Linked DNA regions of Oryctolagus cuniculus. The protein of the gene in region 2 interacts with the protein of the main gene of each other region in a pairwise test. Links are inferred from orthologs where the notes say so. Each region holds a gene or a part of one and is shown on either strand. Other genes may lie near its edges. The genes, in order: NIBAN1, FHL2, NRF1 and CCDC92.

Region 1 (4,030 bases), on a different chromosome or scaffold from region 2:
GCGCATGGCCCTGGGGTGATGGTCCTGGGAAGAGCAGAGAGGCTGCCGTGGGACCACGAGGGCCAGCGGGTGTGAGGAGGGCAGGGGAGGCGGGCCTAGGCCGGGTGGGCTCTGTGCAAGTTCCCCCATGACAGTTAGGAGGCTGTGGTCCTGCTGGAGGGGAGGTGGTGATGGGGCGGGGGGGGGGGTGGGCAGAGAGCTGGTTGGACACAGCTGGAAAGCGGGACTGACAGGCAGGATCTCGGGGTGTGAGCTGTGATGCACATCCGGTCTGGTTAGGAAATTAACTTGGTGGGGCAGGAGGAGGGGCTTCAGAGGCCTCAGACCCTTTGACCTCGAGGGTAAGCTGGTAGGACAGAGTCCTGATTCCTGCCCAGGGCTGGTCTGGTGACCGTGGGGGAGCCACCATACAGTCTCCTCCTGGCCCACAGGTGTTTCCGGGGCGGTCGTCGGCCTCCCCAGGTGTACCCAACCCTGGTGCCCCCTGTGTTTTCCCACCCTCGCCAGCCCTGGACCACCTCCTGGGCTCCAGGTGGGCACTGTCCAAAGCATTCTTGGACACAAGCCACGCCAGGAATCCCCAGAGGGCTGGGGAGGCAGGCGGTTGGTCCCCAGCCAGAGCTTTTGATTGGGGCTGTGGCAAGGGTGCCGTGTGTGTGTGTAGAGTGTGCAGCTGTGTGGGTGTGGAGGGTGTATGTGTATGTAGAGGTATGTGTGTAGGGCTGTGCGTGTAGACATGTGATGGAGTGTGTAAGGGTGTGTAGAGGTGTGTATGTGTGGAAGGTGAGTATGTGTCTGTGTGGAGGGTTGTGTGTGTGTACAGGTGTGTGTGGAGGGCGTGTGTTTGTAGGGGTGTGTGTGGACCGTGTTTCTGTGGCATGGGGGGGGGCTCAGGTGTACAGGTGCGCAGGTGCACAGGGGCACGGGTGGAGCTGGTGGGGGCCAGCCTTCTCCCTGGGTGGGGGGGTGGAGCGTGCAGAGCGATGGGGTCCCTAGCCCAGCGGCTCACAGACATCTGGAGGCCTACAGTGGCCGGGACGCCGTCCTTTCCCTCCACGGCGTTTCTGGGCCGCCGCAGGTCGGCGACCAGCCGGCGGGAAGTCCCGGCAGAGGCGGCTCCGGAGCGACCGCGAAGGGGCGGGAGGCGGCCGCACAGGCGCTGGGGCGCGGCCGGGGAGGCGCCCAGGGGGCGGCGCCCGCTGAAGAGGCCGCCTTAGCCCGGAGCCGCGGTCGGCGCTCTCCAGCTAGCTGGCCCGCTACGCCCGGTACCGCACGGCACCGCGCCCGCCGCACCACGACCATGGGCGGCGCCGCCTCCAGCCAGCTGGACGAGGCCCGGAGCGCCTACATCCGAGGTACGCCCCGTCTCCGCCTGCTGCACGGCGTCCCGGGCGAACCCCGGGTCCCGGAGGGGCCGCCCCGGGCTCCACCTGGGCGCGGGCGTCCCCGGGTCCCGGAGGGGCCGCCCCGGGCTCCACCTGGGCGCAGGGGTCCCCGGGTCCCGGAGGGGCCGCCCCGGGCTCCACCTGGGCGCGGGCGTCCCCGGACCCCGGAGGGGCCGCCCCGGGCTCCACCTGGGCGCAGGGGTCCCCGGGTCCCGGAGGGGCCGCCCCGGGCTCCACCTGGGCGCGGGCGTCCCCGGGTCCCGGAGGGGCCGCCCCGGGCTCCACCTGGGCGCGGGCGTCCCCGGACCCCGGCGGGGCCGTCCCGGGCTCCACCTGGGCGCGGGCGTCCCCGGACCCGGGCGGGTGTCCTGGAGCCGGCGGGAGGGCAGCTCGGCCGCGGGCCCGCGAGCCTGCGGGGGGAAAGCCTTGAGAGGCGCTGCGGGAGGCAGGTGCAGGTGCAGGCGCAGGCGCAGGCCCGGCGGGCGACGCCCTGTGCACCTGGCGCGGGTCAGCTCGGGGCCGTCGCTCCAGCCTGGAGGTTTCCCTGGGGACTCCCGGCCGCGGAGCGGGTGCGGCACCGCCGGACGGTCGCGCAGAAAGGGCGGCGGCGTCGCCTTCCTGGGCTGCGCGGGTCCCTTCCCTCCCCGCAAAGGGGAAGAAGAGGAACCGGCAGGTTTTGTAAGAAAGGCTGAGGGGGTGGAGTGAGAGAGCAGAGGCCAGAGGAGCGCAAACCCACCGGGCGGCCGGCGCTGCCCGGACCCCCGACCCTTTCTCTGCGGGGCTGCCGGGTTTTGGGGACCCCGGCCCGCAAGCCTTTGCGTGTCACACCTGACTTTCGGTCGCCTTGGATTCTGTGTGTGTGCTTCCGGCGGCGGAAACACCTCCCAAGCTAGGCTTTAGCCCCTGGGCTTTCCCCTAATTCTTTGCAGAATCGGCTGAGCGCTTCCTGGCCTCTCCTCTTGGCCCTTGAGCCGCTTCCTGAGAGGAAAGCGTGCGTTTGGGGTCTTCGGTGCGTGTTTGTTTTCAGTCACCGCGCCGTTTACAAAGCGGTTTAGAAGGAGCGCAAATCAGGGCCCGGCCTCGCCAAGTCCCGGGATTGGATCTCCAGATTCCTGCAGGGCCAGGCTTGGCGGTGCTGCCAGGGGACGGAGCCGGCGCCAAGTCCCTTCCCCGGTGGTGTTGAGAGGGGGGAAGTGGAGGAAGCTGGGGTCCAAGCTGCTCCGTCTCAAGCATCCAGGGACCTGCTGGTTTCCCCCAGAGGGTAGGGGCCAGAAGGCAGGTGAGAAGGGGTGTGCACTGGTTGTTAGCAAAGCAATGCTCCTGGTGTTTTTTACAAGCAGGGAAGTGTGTTATCACACGGCCAGAGGTGTGAGGCGGGTGCAGGGGACCATGTGTGAATGAGTAAGGCCACAGCTGGCCGGGTGGCAGGGTGGCGACACCGAGCCCCGCTCAGGGCTGGCCTCTGGTTCTGTGGACCGGAACGCTCTGGAGGAGTGGGAGGGGGAGAAGAGTGACTGCTGCCAGGGCATTGCTTCACCCTGGGAGAAAGGTCCGGGGCTGTGGATCGTAAGCGCCCGAGCCCACGGAAGTCCCGGGCTGTGCCGTCCGGATGGCTCTGAAGCCCGTGCTGCCCAGCAGACCCGGAGCCCGTGTGCACCCCGCGCCCTCCCCGAGCTACGTGTGAGTTACAGTGAGACAGTGGAGAGAGTGACGGCAAAGCTAAGGCACAACTGTAAGATTTCTCATGAAGTGGCCGCTGTACGATTTTGCAGCCTTGCAAGCTGCTGGCGTGCGACAGGAACTTTCAAGCCTGCTAACCCTGAGCGCAGGAGACTAGCCGGTGGATGCCCCGGGCGTGGGTTTGGTGGGGTTGTGGGGCGCGAGCTGGAAGCAGCCGCGCTGCCGGTGTGCTCGTGGCTTGGGGTGGGACCAGGCTGTACTTCTAGACCGCTCTCCTTTGGTCGGTGACAAAGTCATCTGCGTCACCTGCATTTTTCTTCCTGAAGCTTCTGCCGACCTCCAGGTAGAGGCACAGGTGTGGAAGGAGTTGCTTCGTTTCTGAGATGTTGGCTTTGAGATTCTCTCACGACGGTATGTATTTTTAGAACGGGTTCCAGAGGCCTTCCGGGAACTTCCCTGGATAAGCCACTCCTGTGCCCAGACTGGGCGATCACAGCCCGGTGCCCTCTGCCGGCCAGCTCGGGCCCAGAAGGAAGGGCGCTGGCAGGGTCCAGCACCAGCGGGCCGTACGGCATGCTTCTCCCCTCTCTGTTTCTTGTAAAACCCTTGGTTTGCCTGGAATAGAACTTTCAAAATGTGCTTCCCTGTTTTAACCAGAATTGTCTTCCTTTGAAAAATGCCCATTGAACTGGTTTTGAATCAAAGAGAGAGAAAGCTCGCCCACAGGGGAGTCCTGCTGGAGGCGGGGCTGTAGCCGGGCCCCGGGGTGGGGAATGGGCATGTGCCGACTTCTGCTGTGGGGGACTTAGTCACACGTACCCCGAGAAGGCCCAGCGGCTTCCTCTGAAATACTCATCAGCGATCTGATGTTTCTAAAGAAATGAGATTCAGCTTAAAACCAGCATGCATTTCTCTCCGGGGAGTTCTCTCCTGTTTGTCCCGTAAGGGTTAAGTGCGATGGCTCC
Region 2 (3,560 bases):
GGGTGTTGAACACCTGAGGCTCCTCACCAGAGCGGGCTGGAAGCTCCAGGTGCATCCACACCCCAGCTGTTCCCATCTCCTTGGAACCAGAGCGGGTACTCATTAACAGGTGTGCAACAGGGGGGTGCACAGCCTTCCCCCATTATCCTGAAACTGTGGATTATAGTAGACCTGATATTCTGTGGTTTTCTAGTTGTACATACTTGTGATAAAGGATTGTGGCACAGCAGGTTAACACCCTGGCCTGAGGCGCCGACATCCCATACGGGCACCAGTTCGAGTCCCGGCTGCTCCTCTTCCAGTCTAGCTCTCTGCTATGGCCTGGGAAAGCAATAGAAGATGGTCCAAGTCCTTGGGCCCCTGCACCCATGTGGGAGACCCGGAAGAAGCTCCTGGCTCCTGGCTCCTGGCTTCGGATTGGTGCAGCTCCGACCATTGCGGCCAATTGGGGAGTGAACCAGTGGATGGAAGACCCCCCTCTCTCTCTGCCTCTCCTCTCTGTAACTCTGACTTTCAAATAAATAAATAAATTTTAAAAAGTTGGATTTGTAAATTAAGCACAATAGGAGCATAAAAAGGTTAATGATAACAGAACGGAGTAATACACTACCGTAAGAGTGCTGTGAGTGTGGTCTTTTTTCCAGATGTCGGAGTGTGCTCTCCCCTTTTCACTTAAAGGAAGCATTTTTTATGTCTCTTTGGTATACCTGAACTGCCGGCATCACTTCTCTTGTGCTATGGGGCTGTTGTTCAGTAAGTTAAGCATTGGTGCAAGCGCTGTAATGTCAGTGCCCCATGCAGGCCATCTGCTGCTAAGTGGCTACCGGGCAGGTGGTATAGTAGCGTGGACACGTCCGGCCAGGCTGGGGAGGGCTGCCATGCCAGGACTCAGGGTGGTGTGTGATTTAGAACTTATGAATTGGCCACTTCTCCAACTTCTCGTTTACTATTTTCGGCCCACGATTGACTGCTGACACCCTTAGGATGCAGATCCACAGACAAGGAAGAACTCCTGGAGTCCCTGTTCTCCAGATCCCACGTGCTGAAGGAGGAGCCCGAGCTGGGCCAGACTTCTCTTTCTACTTGGCAATGCTGAGATAGCCTTAATTAAAAAAAGAAATGCAGTGTTCCTGAGCACCAGTCTGGAGAAACACGTGCCAAGTGTGTAGTGTGGGTTGTTCTAGAAGCTGGGTGTATAGCAGTGACCCCTAAGACAAAGCCCCTGCCCTCCACAAGATAGGAATCGTCCCATTGCTAGGCAAGTCTTCGGGCACTCGAGTGGTTTGCTAGGAGACAAATCGAGACGCGGCAGGCTGAGGGTGTGGGCTGCTAAGCCTCCTAGGCCAAGCTAACCAGAACCCCGCCGTTTCTTCCTGACTGCCGGCAGGTACCCGCAAGATGGAGTACAAGGGCAGCAGCTGGCACGAGACCTGCTTCAGCTGCCATCGCTGCCAGCAGCCGATCGGGACCAAGAGTTTCATCCCTAAGGACAATCAGAACTTCTGTGTGCCCTGCTACGAGAAGCAGTACGCCCTGCAGTGTGTGCAGTGCAAAAAGGTATCTTGGGTTCCCCCGGGACCCCGCGGGGTCAGCGCCACCAGCTTCCGTGGCCCTGTCTGTCAGCTCTCGCATTTAGGAAGCAGGGACGGCTGTCCTGCTGGCGTAGCCGGAAGGTTCTGGGGTTGTGCCCGGCCCACCGCTGTGTATTTGCAATCCTGCTGAGCTTTTATGGATTCCAGCCGTTGGATCCCTGTTCTGCACAGAACACCGTGGTACTCTGTGCTCAGAATCCTCTAGCCCTGCCTTCTGGAACATTCCCAGATCAGTTCTCGTGTTAATGACTTGCTGTTGGGAGGAGAGAAAGAGAGAGAGAGAGAGAGAGAGAGAGAGAGAGAGAGAGAGGACAGGTGTGCCCTGGATAGGGAGCAGACCATTTAAAGTTTTCTGCTCCTTGATGTGCTAGCTCTGAGCTGGGGCCTACACAAAGTTTGTGGAAAATGAGTAAGGTGAGAAAACTGGACTTGGATTGCATAATGATGTTGCACCAAAATAAACTTGTCTTTCAAGTCTGTTTTCTAACAAGCTGTCTGAAGTCCCCTCATACACGCATTCTGTATCCCCGTAAGGATCTGAAAACCCAGCATGTTTTGCGTTAGTTCTGCTCCCGGAGGAAGCATCTGTAGGAAGATCAGCCGTGATCTATGGTTTAATGTCAACACTGCAGGATAGGGGCTGGCGCTGTGGCATAGTGAGTAAAACCACCACCTGCAATGCCGGCATCCCAGATGGGTGCAGGTTCAAGTCCTGGCTTCTCCACTTCTGATCCAACTCCCTGCTAATGGTCTTGGAAAAGCAGTGGAGGGTGACCCAAGTTCTGGGGCCTCTACTACCCAGGTGGGAGACCCGGAAGAAGCTCCTGGCTCCTGGCTTCAGCCTGGCCCAGCCCTGACTGTTGTGGCCCTCTGGGAATGAACCAGAAGATGGAATCTCTCTCTCTCACTCACTTACTGTAACTCTTTCAAATGAAATAAATAAATCTTTAAAAATAATGCAGGACAGAAGGAGTCCTGAGCTGTAGCCCCTGCTCTGTCATGAACCAGCTATTCACTGATACCTTCCTCCTGGCCTCAGTTTGCTGATCAATAGCACTGCAGGCAATACCCATCTCGTTTCACAGGCTAAACATGCGGCCCAGAGGGGTGGCCAGGTGTTTAGCTCAGTGTTTGGGGATTCCAGAGCCTAACCGTGCGCCTGCTGGGAGGTGTCTGCCCCATCTTCCGTCACCGTCGTTCTGTTGGACCCCTTGTGATGCCTTACCTGGCTCCATCACTGATCCGTTTTGTAAATGACTCTGGGAAAGCGAGAGGAAAATTCTAGGCGAAAGCCAGTTCTCTGACATCTGGCTTTGCAGCCTTTCCTCACGCTTGTTCCAAGACCACAAGCAGGTTTCGGGCTCACTTTCCCCCAGACTTCCACGATTCCTGCCCTTCCCGCAGCATCAGCAGGTGCAAATCCCGGAGCTTTGCAAGCTCTTTCTCCCACGCCCAAGTGGCTGCTTAGACTGAGCCTGCGAGTGGTGATGGAGACGTTATTCTACCTGCTGGGCTTCACACCGAGCACTCGCTACAGATTTGCACCTGGAACCTTATCACTCCCATCTCACAGATGAGAAAATGGAGGCAGAGGGATCGCTAACAGTGGCTTGCCCCAGCCTCAGGGCTGACAAGGAACAGGTTAGGGTTCATTCCTGGTCTCCCAATAAAGTTCTGGCCAGGAGACGGCCCCTGGGCTGCCTCCCCGCTCCTGGAGCTGCCTCCCCGCCTCTCCCACTCACATCCCCAACCCCACCGACGTCCGTGCCTCAGTTTCCCCGGCACCCCTCCTTGGGGCTGCAGGCAGATACCTGAGGACCACCTGCCCCAATGGAGAACACAGAGACTGTGGCACTGGAGCTCGAATCCGTGGCGGCCACGCCGGGGTCTGCCCAGGAAGTGTGAAAAAGTAGGGTCTCGGTGACTTGAACCACCTGCTGGCTTTCTGGGTGAGGATCTGGTGTTGCC
Region 3 (3,560 bases), on a different chromosome or scaffold from region 2:
TGCTGCAGCCAGGTGGGCTGTGACCTCGTCAGCTGCTGTGGAGTTGAGTATGTCTGAATCATCGTAAGAGGTATCTTCCGGGGAAGAAGGCGAGTCTTCATCAGCACTCAGCATGCTGTGCTCAGTGTAGGTGGCCACATGGACCTGCTGCACTTGCTGGGCCACTGCATGGGCTTCTATGGTAGCCATGTGTTCAGTCTGAGTCACTCCGTGTTCCTCCATGAAGATCTGCTGACAGAAAAAGAGGAAAAGAATAAGACGCAGTGCGCAATGTAGCACCATGCTTAAACTAAAGAGAGATTTTCTCCAGGGGTAGAGGAACTTGAACAAGCCTCTAATTTCACTACTTACCTCACCACCAAGCCATAGGAAACGGAAGGCACCACTCAAATATGGCACAAAAATGGTGGAATACTTTCCTCATATGAACCCATTCTGATGGAAATTCACGGGGCTAAATCTGATACCTCAGGACACAAAACAAATATCCCTAATAAATATAACAATAAAAAGTGTAAATATAATAGAAACATTCTTAAAATATCCCTTTAACTAGTATTTGATGTTGTAGACATAAAAACACTTAACAGGTGCAGCAGTTTAAGCCTCTGCTTGGGATGCCTGCACCCATCCAATATTGGTCCGCCTGGGATCAAGTCCTATCTCCACTTCCAATCCAGCTTCCTGCTATCGTGCCTGGGAAGTAGCAGATGACGGTTTAACTACAGGGGTCCCTGCCATCCATGTGGGAGATGGGGATGGAGCTGCTGACTCCTGGTTTTGACTCGACCCACCCTCAGCTGTTATGGGCATTTGGGGAGTGAACCAGCAGTTGAAGATTCTCATTCTCCCCATCTCTTTTTCTCCCCCTCTCTCACTGTCACCCTGCTTTTTCCAAAAAGTTTCAGAACAATGGAGTTAAACTAGTGGGGACATTTGGAGTAGCACTTGAAATGCCACTTGGGACACCTGCATCACCCATAAGAGCATCTGGATTCGAGTCCCTGATTCCAGCTTCCTGTAGATTCACACCCTGAGAGACAGAAGGTGAGGGCTCAAGTACTTGGGTCCCTGCCTTCCACGTGGGAGATGTAGATTGAGTGGGACGCTCCTGACTTCAGCCTGGCTCATCACTGGCTGTTGCAGTCACCTGGGAAGTGAACCAGTAGATGGAAAAAATATTTGTTTGTCTACCTTTCAAATAAAATAAGAAGAAATAATAAAATATTTTAAAAATTCAGCAGTGGGGCCATCATTGTGGCATAGTTGGTAAAGTTGTCACCTGCAATGCCAACATCACAAATAAGCACAGTTTATGTTCCAGCTGCTCCACTTCCAATCCAGCTCCCTGCTAATGGCCTAGGGAAAGCAGCAGAAGATGGCTCCGTGCGTGGGCCCCTTTAACCATTGTGGGAGACCCAGCTCCTGGCTCCTTGCTTCAGCCTGGCTCAATGCTGGCCAATGTGGTCATCTGGGGATTGAACCAGTAGATGGAAGATTCTCTCTCGGTAACTCTGCCTCTTTCTCTGTAACTCTCTCAAATCAAAAAATCCTTTTAAAAATTAAAAATAAATTAAATTAAAAACGAAGCAGTAAAAGTTTGCTTTCCTATTGTATTTATATTCTTCTGCCCACTTCCAGAAATTCATTATTCTTTATAAAAATTTTTATTTATTTTACTTTAGAGGCAGACAAACACACACAGAGAGACTGAGAGATTTCTCATTCGCTGGTTCACCCCTCAAACTGGGGCTAGGCCAGGCTGAGGCCAGGTGCCAAAACTCCATCTGGGTCTCCTACATGTGTAGCAGGAACCCAAATACTTGAGCCATCACCTGCTGCCATGCAGAGTGAACACTGATCTCTGACAAAGAGGCAAGCACAATACCACAGTTTAGCAGAATCTTTTTGATGAATGGTAACAGAACAAATGGATACCAACATACCAAAAAATGAGTCTACAGAGACCTTCCATCTTTTACAAAATGAATATATATAGAACAAAATGTGAAATGCAAAACTATAAAATGACGTAGAAGAACCCTACATGACCTTGGGTTTGGCAATGACTTCTGAATATAATACCAAAGGACGAACTATGAAAGAAAAATTTCTCTCCCTCTCTCTGTATCTCACTCTGCCTTTCAAACAAAATGAAAATATATAATTTTTTAAAAAGATTTATTTATTTGAAAGGCAGTTACAGAAAAGCAGAAGGGGGGAAAGAGAGAGAGAGAGAGAGGTCTTCTATCCGCTGGTTCATTCCCCAAATGGCTGCAATGGCCGGAGCTGGGTCAAACTGAAGCCAGGAGCCAGGAGTTTCTTCCAGGTCTCCCAGGAGGGTGCAGGGGCCCAAGGACTTGGGCCATCTTCTACTGCTATCCCAGGCCATAGCAGAGAGCTGGATCGGAAGTGGAGCAGTCGGGACTCAAACTGGCGCCCATATGGGATGCTGGCACTTCAGGCCAGGGTGTCAACCCACTGCGCCACAGTGCCGGCCCAAGTATCTACTTTAATGTACAATTACTATGTGTTAATTTAAAAAAAAAAAAAAAGATTTACTTATTTATTTATTTGAAAGGCAGAACAACAGAGACAGAGAGAGATCTTCTATCCACTGGTTCACTCTCCAAATGGCTACAACAGCCAGGTTTGGGCCAAAAAGAAGTCAGAAGCCAGAAATTCCATTTGAGTTCATTCTCCAAATGGCCACAACAGCCAGAGCTGAGTCGACCCACAGCCAGGAGCTTCCTCCAGGTCCCCCACGTGAGTGCAGGGGTCCAAGCATTTGGGCCATCTTCTACTGCTTTCCAAGGCACATTAGCAGAGAGCTGGACTCGAATGGGCCCCATGTGGGATGCTTGCGCTGCAAGCTGGGGCTTTAACCCGCTGCATCACGGCGCAGGCCCCAAAATGGTTTTTTCAAGATAAGTATCAGATAAGCTGTCCTAAGGTTTCTTTCATATCCTACATTTGGTGTGAGTTTCAGAATACTCAAGAGAACATAACTCCAAATCTGTACTTATCTAAAATTCAACTTAACACACTAAAATTAAATATAATATATGAGAGGAAGATTCCATTAAAATGCTATCTTGCCATCCATTTCATTGTTTTTCTAGTCTAAGAAACAAAATGCTTAAGACAATTTAGAATTCTGGGTACTTCAAAATCGCTTTTAAATGATTTGGGATTACATGGCATCTAACTGCTTTTCAAAGGGATTTGTATGCTATGCACTTGGCATAATGGATTTCAATTCTCTGCTCCAGAATGCGATTCACAGCATAAATCAATAGGGCTGTCTGTCACACAGGCTTGTCACTTCTGCCCAGTTCTCACCGCTTCCCACCGCCCTCCCCAGCCCTTGCCTCAGCATCTCTAACCATTTACAGGCAGCGTTCTATACTAAGCAAAGACAAAGTTACTTTCAACGTTTTTGAACTAGAGGGGGATATCTGTGAAGTATGCTTTCAATGTTTTCATAAAATCATTGAGAGGTAACAGCCCTCTGCCATAGCGAGTAAAGTCACCGCCTGCGGCCCCGGCATCCCATATGG
Region 4 (4,227 bases), on a different chromosome or scaffold from region 2:
TACAACCGCAGGTGCCCGCACCCGCGCACACACTTTTCCTATCTGGAGCAGCGCTGGCGGGGGCTTCGACCATCCCCGAGATGCGACCCTTTTTCCAAAAATAAAAACAAGTCAGCGCATTTACGAATTTCAAAACCCTCTCTCAAGGCTCAAGTCACCGGTGCGTGGCGCAAGGTCACCCGTGCGCTCCCCGGCGGCGGCGGCGGCGGCGAGGGAAGCCGAAATCCGTTTTGTAAAAAGCCGCTGGCTCCCGAGGCCACGGCCGACTGTCACGAAGTACCGCACCGCGCCGCTCTCGGAGGCGTGAGCAGGCCCCTTTGTTGCGCCGGGACAGGCCACGGCCAAAGTGGGGGCGGCCGCGGGGCTCACAAAGGAGCGGGCCGCGAGGGCAGAGTCCTCCGGGGCCGGCCGGGAGGGCGCGGCGGGCGGCGGGTGGGGGAGGGGGAGGGGAGGAGGAGGAGGGGGCGCGGGAGCCGCTTACCTGCGCGAGCGGCCCTGGTCGCGGTCACACAATGGAGGCGTCCGGCGGCGGCCCCGTGCGCCGGGTGCGCGGCGGGCTCCTCGCGGCCTCGGCCGGGCCGGGCGCTACAAACACACAACAGCACAGCCTGCGGCGCGCCGCCGCGCCCGCCCCTCCGGGGCCCGCCTGGAAGCGCTCCCAGGCGCGGCCCCACGGGCCCCGGGGCCGGCCGCGCTCCCCCTTCCCCCGGCCCCGACAACAATGGAGCCCGGCCCGGGAGTCCGGCTCCCGCGGGGCCTCGCCCTGCCCGCCGCCATCGGCGACCCCAGGCCCCGCCGCCCGCCGCCCCGAGGCCCGCGGCCTGGCCGGCGGCCGCCCGCCCGCGGGGAGCCGCGCCGACCCCCGCGGCGCGCCCGAGGGGCCCGCGCGGCCCCAGGCCCGTCCCGAGCGCCGGCTTGTTTTTCTTTTCTTCCCACCCCCGCCCCCCGCCCCCGCCCGCACCCCGGAAAAGAAGGCCGGCGACAGCTCAGCCGCCGCCAACTCACTCCAAGTGAGGGGTGCGGGCGCCCCAGGCCGCGGGCTCCGCGCACCCACCCTCTCTCTCCTCCGGGGACACCTCACAGGTGCGCCTCCGAGCCGCGCGCGCGCGCTCCGCACACCCAGACGCCTCCGGGGGACAGCGCGCGTGCGCACGCACGCGGCCGGCCGGCCCCGGGGGAGCGGGACCCGCACGCATGCGCGAAGCCTCCGCGCGCGCCCCCCCACCGCCGGTCGCGCGCCCGCGCGCCCGCTCGCTTCTCCCTCCTCTCCCCGCCCCCCCCCGCCGCGGCCCGCCCTTGCCCGCGTTGCCCGGGGCAACCGCAGTGCGGCCGCACCTGAGCTGTGCGCCTGCGTCCCACCGGCCCGACCCTCCCTCCCCCTCGGCCCCGTCCCCCTGCCCAGCCGCAGCCCCGGGGAGCCGGGCGGCGCCCCCTCCCCGCCCAGTGAGTACCAGCCGGCCTCCCCGCCCCTCCCGGCGGACGCCGAGCCGCCGCCGCCGCCGCCGCCACACGCCGCAGCGCGACCCGGCTCGCCGCCGGCCGGCTCCCAGGGTGCACCGCGGCGGGCGCTCGCTGCGAGCCGGCGAGATGCGCTGAGCGGGCGGTGCCCACTGACCTCCCTCGGCGGCCCGGCCGGGCAGGGCCGGAGCCGAGGCTGCCCCGCCCGCCGCCGCCCCGCCCATGGGCTGCGGGCCGCCGCCGCCCGCCGGGAGGAACGAGCCGAGCCGGGGAGCCGCCTGAAGGACCGCCGCGGCCGCGCCCGCAGGTGAGGCGGGGCCCGCGGAGAGCCCAGTCCGGCCCCGCTCACCTGGCCCCGCTGGACAGCGACGGAACAGCCGCGCTGCGCGGTGCGGGCCGGGGCGCGGGCCGGCGGCGGGCGTGGGGGGGGGGTCTCCTGGCGCAGACACCCAGCGGGGCGGCCGCGGCGTCCGGCCCCAGGCGGGGGAGGCGAGGCCGGCCCGGGGCGGGATCCGCATTGCAGGTGCAGCGGCGGCGCCCGGGGGGGGGGGTGGCGCTGCGGGCGGCGGAGCCCCCGGCCGCCCCCGCCGCCCCCGCCGCCCCCGGCTCTGCGGGCTCGCCTTCCTGCTGCCCGCGACCGTGGAGTGGGCAGCTGCGGCGTTCGCCGGTGCGATGCGGAGTCGGCTACCGCCACGGAGCGGGCCGGGGCGCGGGGGGGGGGGGCAGCACCGCGCGCCGGGCTTGCGGTTGCGACGATGAAGGTTTCACCCCAAAACCAAGGCTTGAGCGCGTCGCGCATTCCCGGGAACCCGCGAGTGGGAAGGCTAGCATGGCCGCTTTGAAACGTGCGGTGCGAAGTGGGCTTATTAGGGAGCGGCGTTTGCGGCTGTTCCCTTTGGGGGGGCGGCACAGTCAAGAATTCTGCGTTTTCTCGCCGTTGAACTGTAGGAGGGAAAGCTGCCAACATTTACAGCGGTTTTTACTTCTGATTTGAAATGTACGGATTTTTTTTTTGTTTGGCTAAATGTTGCAGATGTGTTTGGAGGAAACTCTAGGCTGTGTCTTTATCTGTACACCTGTGCACAGGGGCGGGGGCTTCAGAAAAGCCTGCGGACGTGGAATTAAAAGGTAACTTTGTCTCGTTGCAAAATTTGAAATCCATGATTTATTTTTTCGCGATGGCTCGCCCCACGAACTCTTTGAAGGCCCCCTGTAGTTAAACACCCTGAAACCTTAAGGTAACTATTCCTCCACATCGCTTCTTAATCACTCGGGAAGTTTAGGCTTTTTTTTTTTTAGGACAGTTATTTCATTTTTACTGTTAGGTTTAAACAGATTTTATTTTTTTTGGAAATTAGATGTTTTTATTGTTAACTCTTTTTCAGAAGCGAATGGGTGCTTTTACTCAGATGGTCCGTCTTGGGCTCTTGGCTCTTTTCTTTCCTGAATCGGATCCATGGGATTTTAAGGTCATTGCCTCCCTGGGGTGCGCGTGCCCCAGCACTGATGTTAGTGACAGCGTGGATGCTTTTAAAATCCAGTTATCGAACGTTGTTCTCTTAAGTCTGGCCAGAAAAGACTTTCTGGAACCAGGTCTGCCCGGTACAGAACGGGCACGTCTGGTAGCCAGGCTTCCTCCCGTCGCCCCACGGCGTCCCCGGAGGCAGAGGCTGGCGCCGCCCGTGCCTCCGCGGCAGCGCTGCAGTCCGGGTTTGAGGCGGCCCCAGGCTGCAGACCAGCTGGGCCGGCGCCAGCCTCCGCACCTGCGCCCCGGATCCCCAGTCCACCTGCGGGGAGTGAGCGCGTCCTGGCTGTGGGTCCTAGTGCCAGGGCTCCGGTGACTGCTTCGCGCCTAGCAGGAGGCAGGTGTCCCACGCCTCGCCTGGGAGAGCTTCCCGCGGTGGGAAGGGGGCCTGCGCCCCACTCGGGGGCCTGCTCCCTCCTCGGGTGCCCCACCTAGCAGAGCCGCTACCGGAGTCACAAGGGCGGGGAGCCTTGGGGTTCCAGTGGCAGCTGGATTTGGGGAGCTGTGCATCTCCCTCTGGCTCTGTGGTTCTCACACTGGCTTGTCCGCCATGCACCCGAAGCCTCAGCCCCGGGAAGGTTTCTCAGGCCCGCCTGCCCTCAGAGCTGGGTCTAACTCTGTTGTGCGTGAGTGTGGCGCAGTGCAGGTCACAAAGCTCCTCTCGCCTAATAAAGACTTTTTAGTTGTGATCTGATTTTCTCCCTTTGACTTTTATTTTCTACAATAAACTTTTAATCAGATGGAAAATTATCTTTTCTAGGAAACCAAGCAGAGGAGTTTGCTTTTTAAAAGCGTTAAAAATGGGCTGATGTCAGCTCTCCTTCTGAGTCAGGGAGTTGTGAAGCTGCATCTTTTTTCTTAGATGAAAATGCTTTTTAAAGATGCTAATTAAGAGGTGATTCTGTGCTTGCTCTGCGTCTTCATTCCTCTTTATTTCATTACTCCAACATGACTCAGGTTTCACAGCGAGACGTCCAGTCACATCCACCCACAGTGAGCTGCACCGAACTATTCCCCAGTGCGTCTGGGAGAGTTTAGGTACCTGCTGGCAGCCAAGAGGAAGCTTGAGTAGTGTCCCGGGGACGGGAGAGCTGAGGTGACCGACCTCAGCTCCAGGAGTAGGGGGGCCGCGGCCAAGGGGGGATGTCACTGGGTGGCTACAGCTCCCAGCCCCGTAGTGCCCGAGACAAGTGCAGCGAGAGCTAGCAAGGCCAGTCGAGTTAACCCAGGGTCTGAGCTGACTC

What was found.
Region 1: the proteins of FHL2 (region 2) and NIBAN1 interact in binary tests that used the Homo sapiens proteins (3 or more experiments, as listed by UniProt). The two-hybrid records come from large-scale screens. The link is inferred for Oryctolagus cuniculus from reciprocal best matches to the Homo sapiens genes FHL2 and NIBAN1.
Region 3: the proteins of FHL2 (region 2) and NRF1 interact in binary tests that used the Homo sapiens proteins (3 or more experiments, as listed by UniProt). The two-hybrid records come from large-scale screens. The link is inferred for Oryctolagus cuniculus from reciprocal best matches to the Homo sapiens genes FHL2 and NRF1.
Region 4: the proteins of FHL2 (region 2) and CCDC92 interact in binary tests that used the Homo sapiens proteins (3 or more experiments, as listed by UniProt). The two-hybrid records come from large-scale screens. The link is inferred for Oryctolagus cuniculus from reciprocal best matches to the Homo sapiens genes FHL2 and CCDC92.

The regions. Positions count from the first base shown.
Region 1 is NC_091444.1:2,294,740-2,298,769, reverse strand, and holds the start of NIBAN1 (protein Niban 1), read left to right. Parts: upstream 1-1,196; 5' UTR 1,197-1,300; coding exon 1,301-1,355; intron 1,356-4,030. UniProt on the Homo sapiens protein: Regulates phosphorylation of a number of proteins involved in translation regulation including EIF2A, EIF4EBP1 and RPS6KB1. May be involved in the endoplasmic reticulum stress response.
Region 2 is NC_091433.1:103,241,629-103,245,188, forward strand, and holds part of FHL2 (four and a half LIM domains protein 2), read left to right. Parts: intron 1-1,387; coding exon 1,388-1,557; intron 1,558-3,560. UniProt on the Homo sapiens protein: May function as a molecular transmitter linking various signaling pathways to transcriptional regulation. Negatively regulates the transcriptional repressor E4F1 and may function in cell growth.
Region 3 is NC_091434.1:165,826,024-165,829,583, reverse strand, and holds part of NRF1 (nuclear respiratory factor 1), read right to left. Parts: intron 491-3,560; exon of another isoform or gene 352-490; intron 232-351; exon of another isoform or gene 229-231; 5' UTR 223-228; coding exon 1-222. UniProt on the Homo sapiens protein: Transcription factor that activates the expression of the EIF2S1 (EIF2-alpha) gene. Links the transcriptional modulation of key metabolic genes to cellular growth and development.
Region 4 is NC_091452.1:5,556,082-5,560,308, forward strand, and holds the start of CCDC92 (coiled-coil domain-containing protein 92), read left to right. Parts: upstream 1-1,372; 5' UTR 1,373-1,443; intron 1,444-1,451; exon of another isoform or gene 1,452-1,470; intron 1,471-1,509; exon of another isoform or gene 1,510-1,765; intron 1,766-4,227.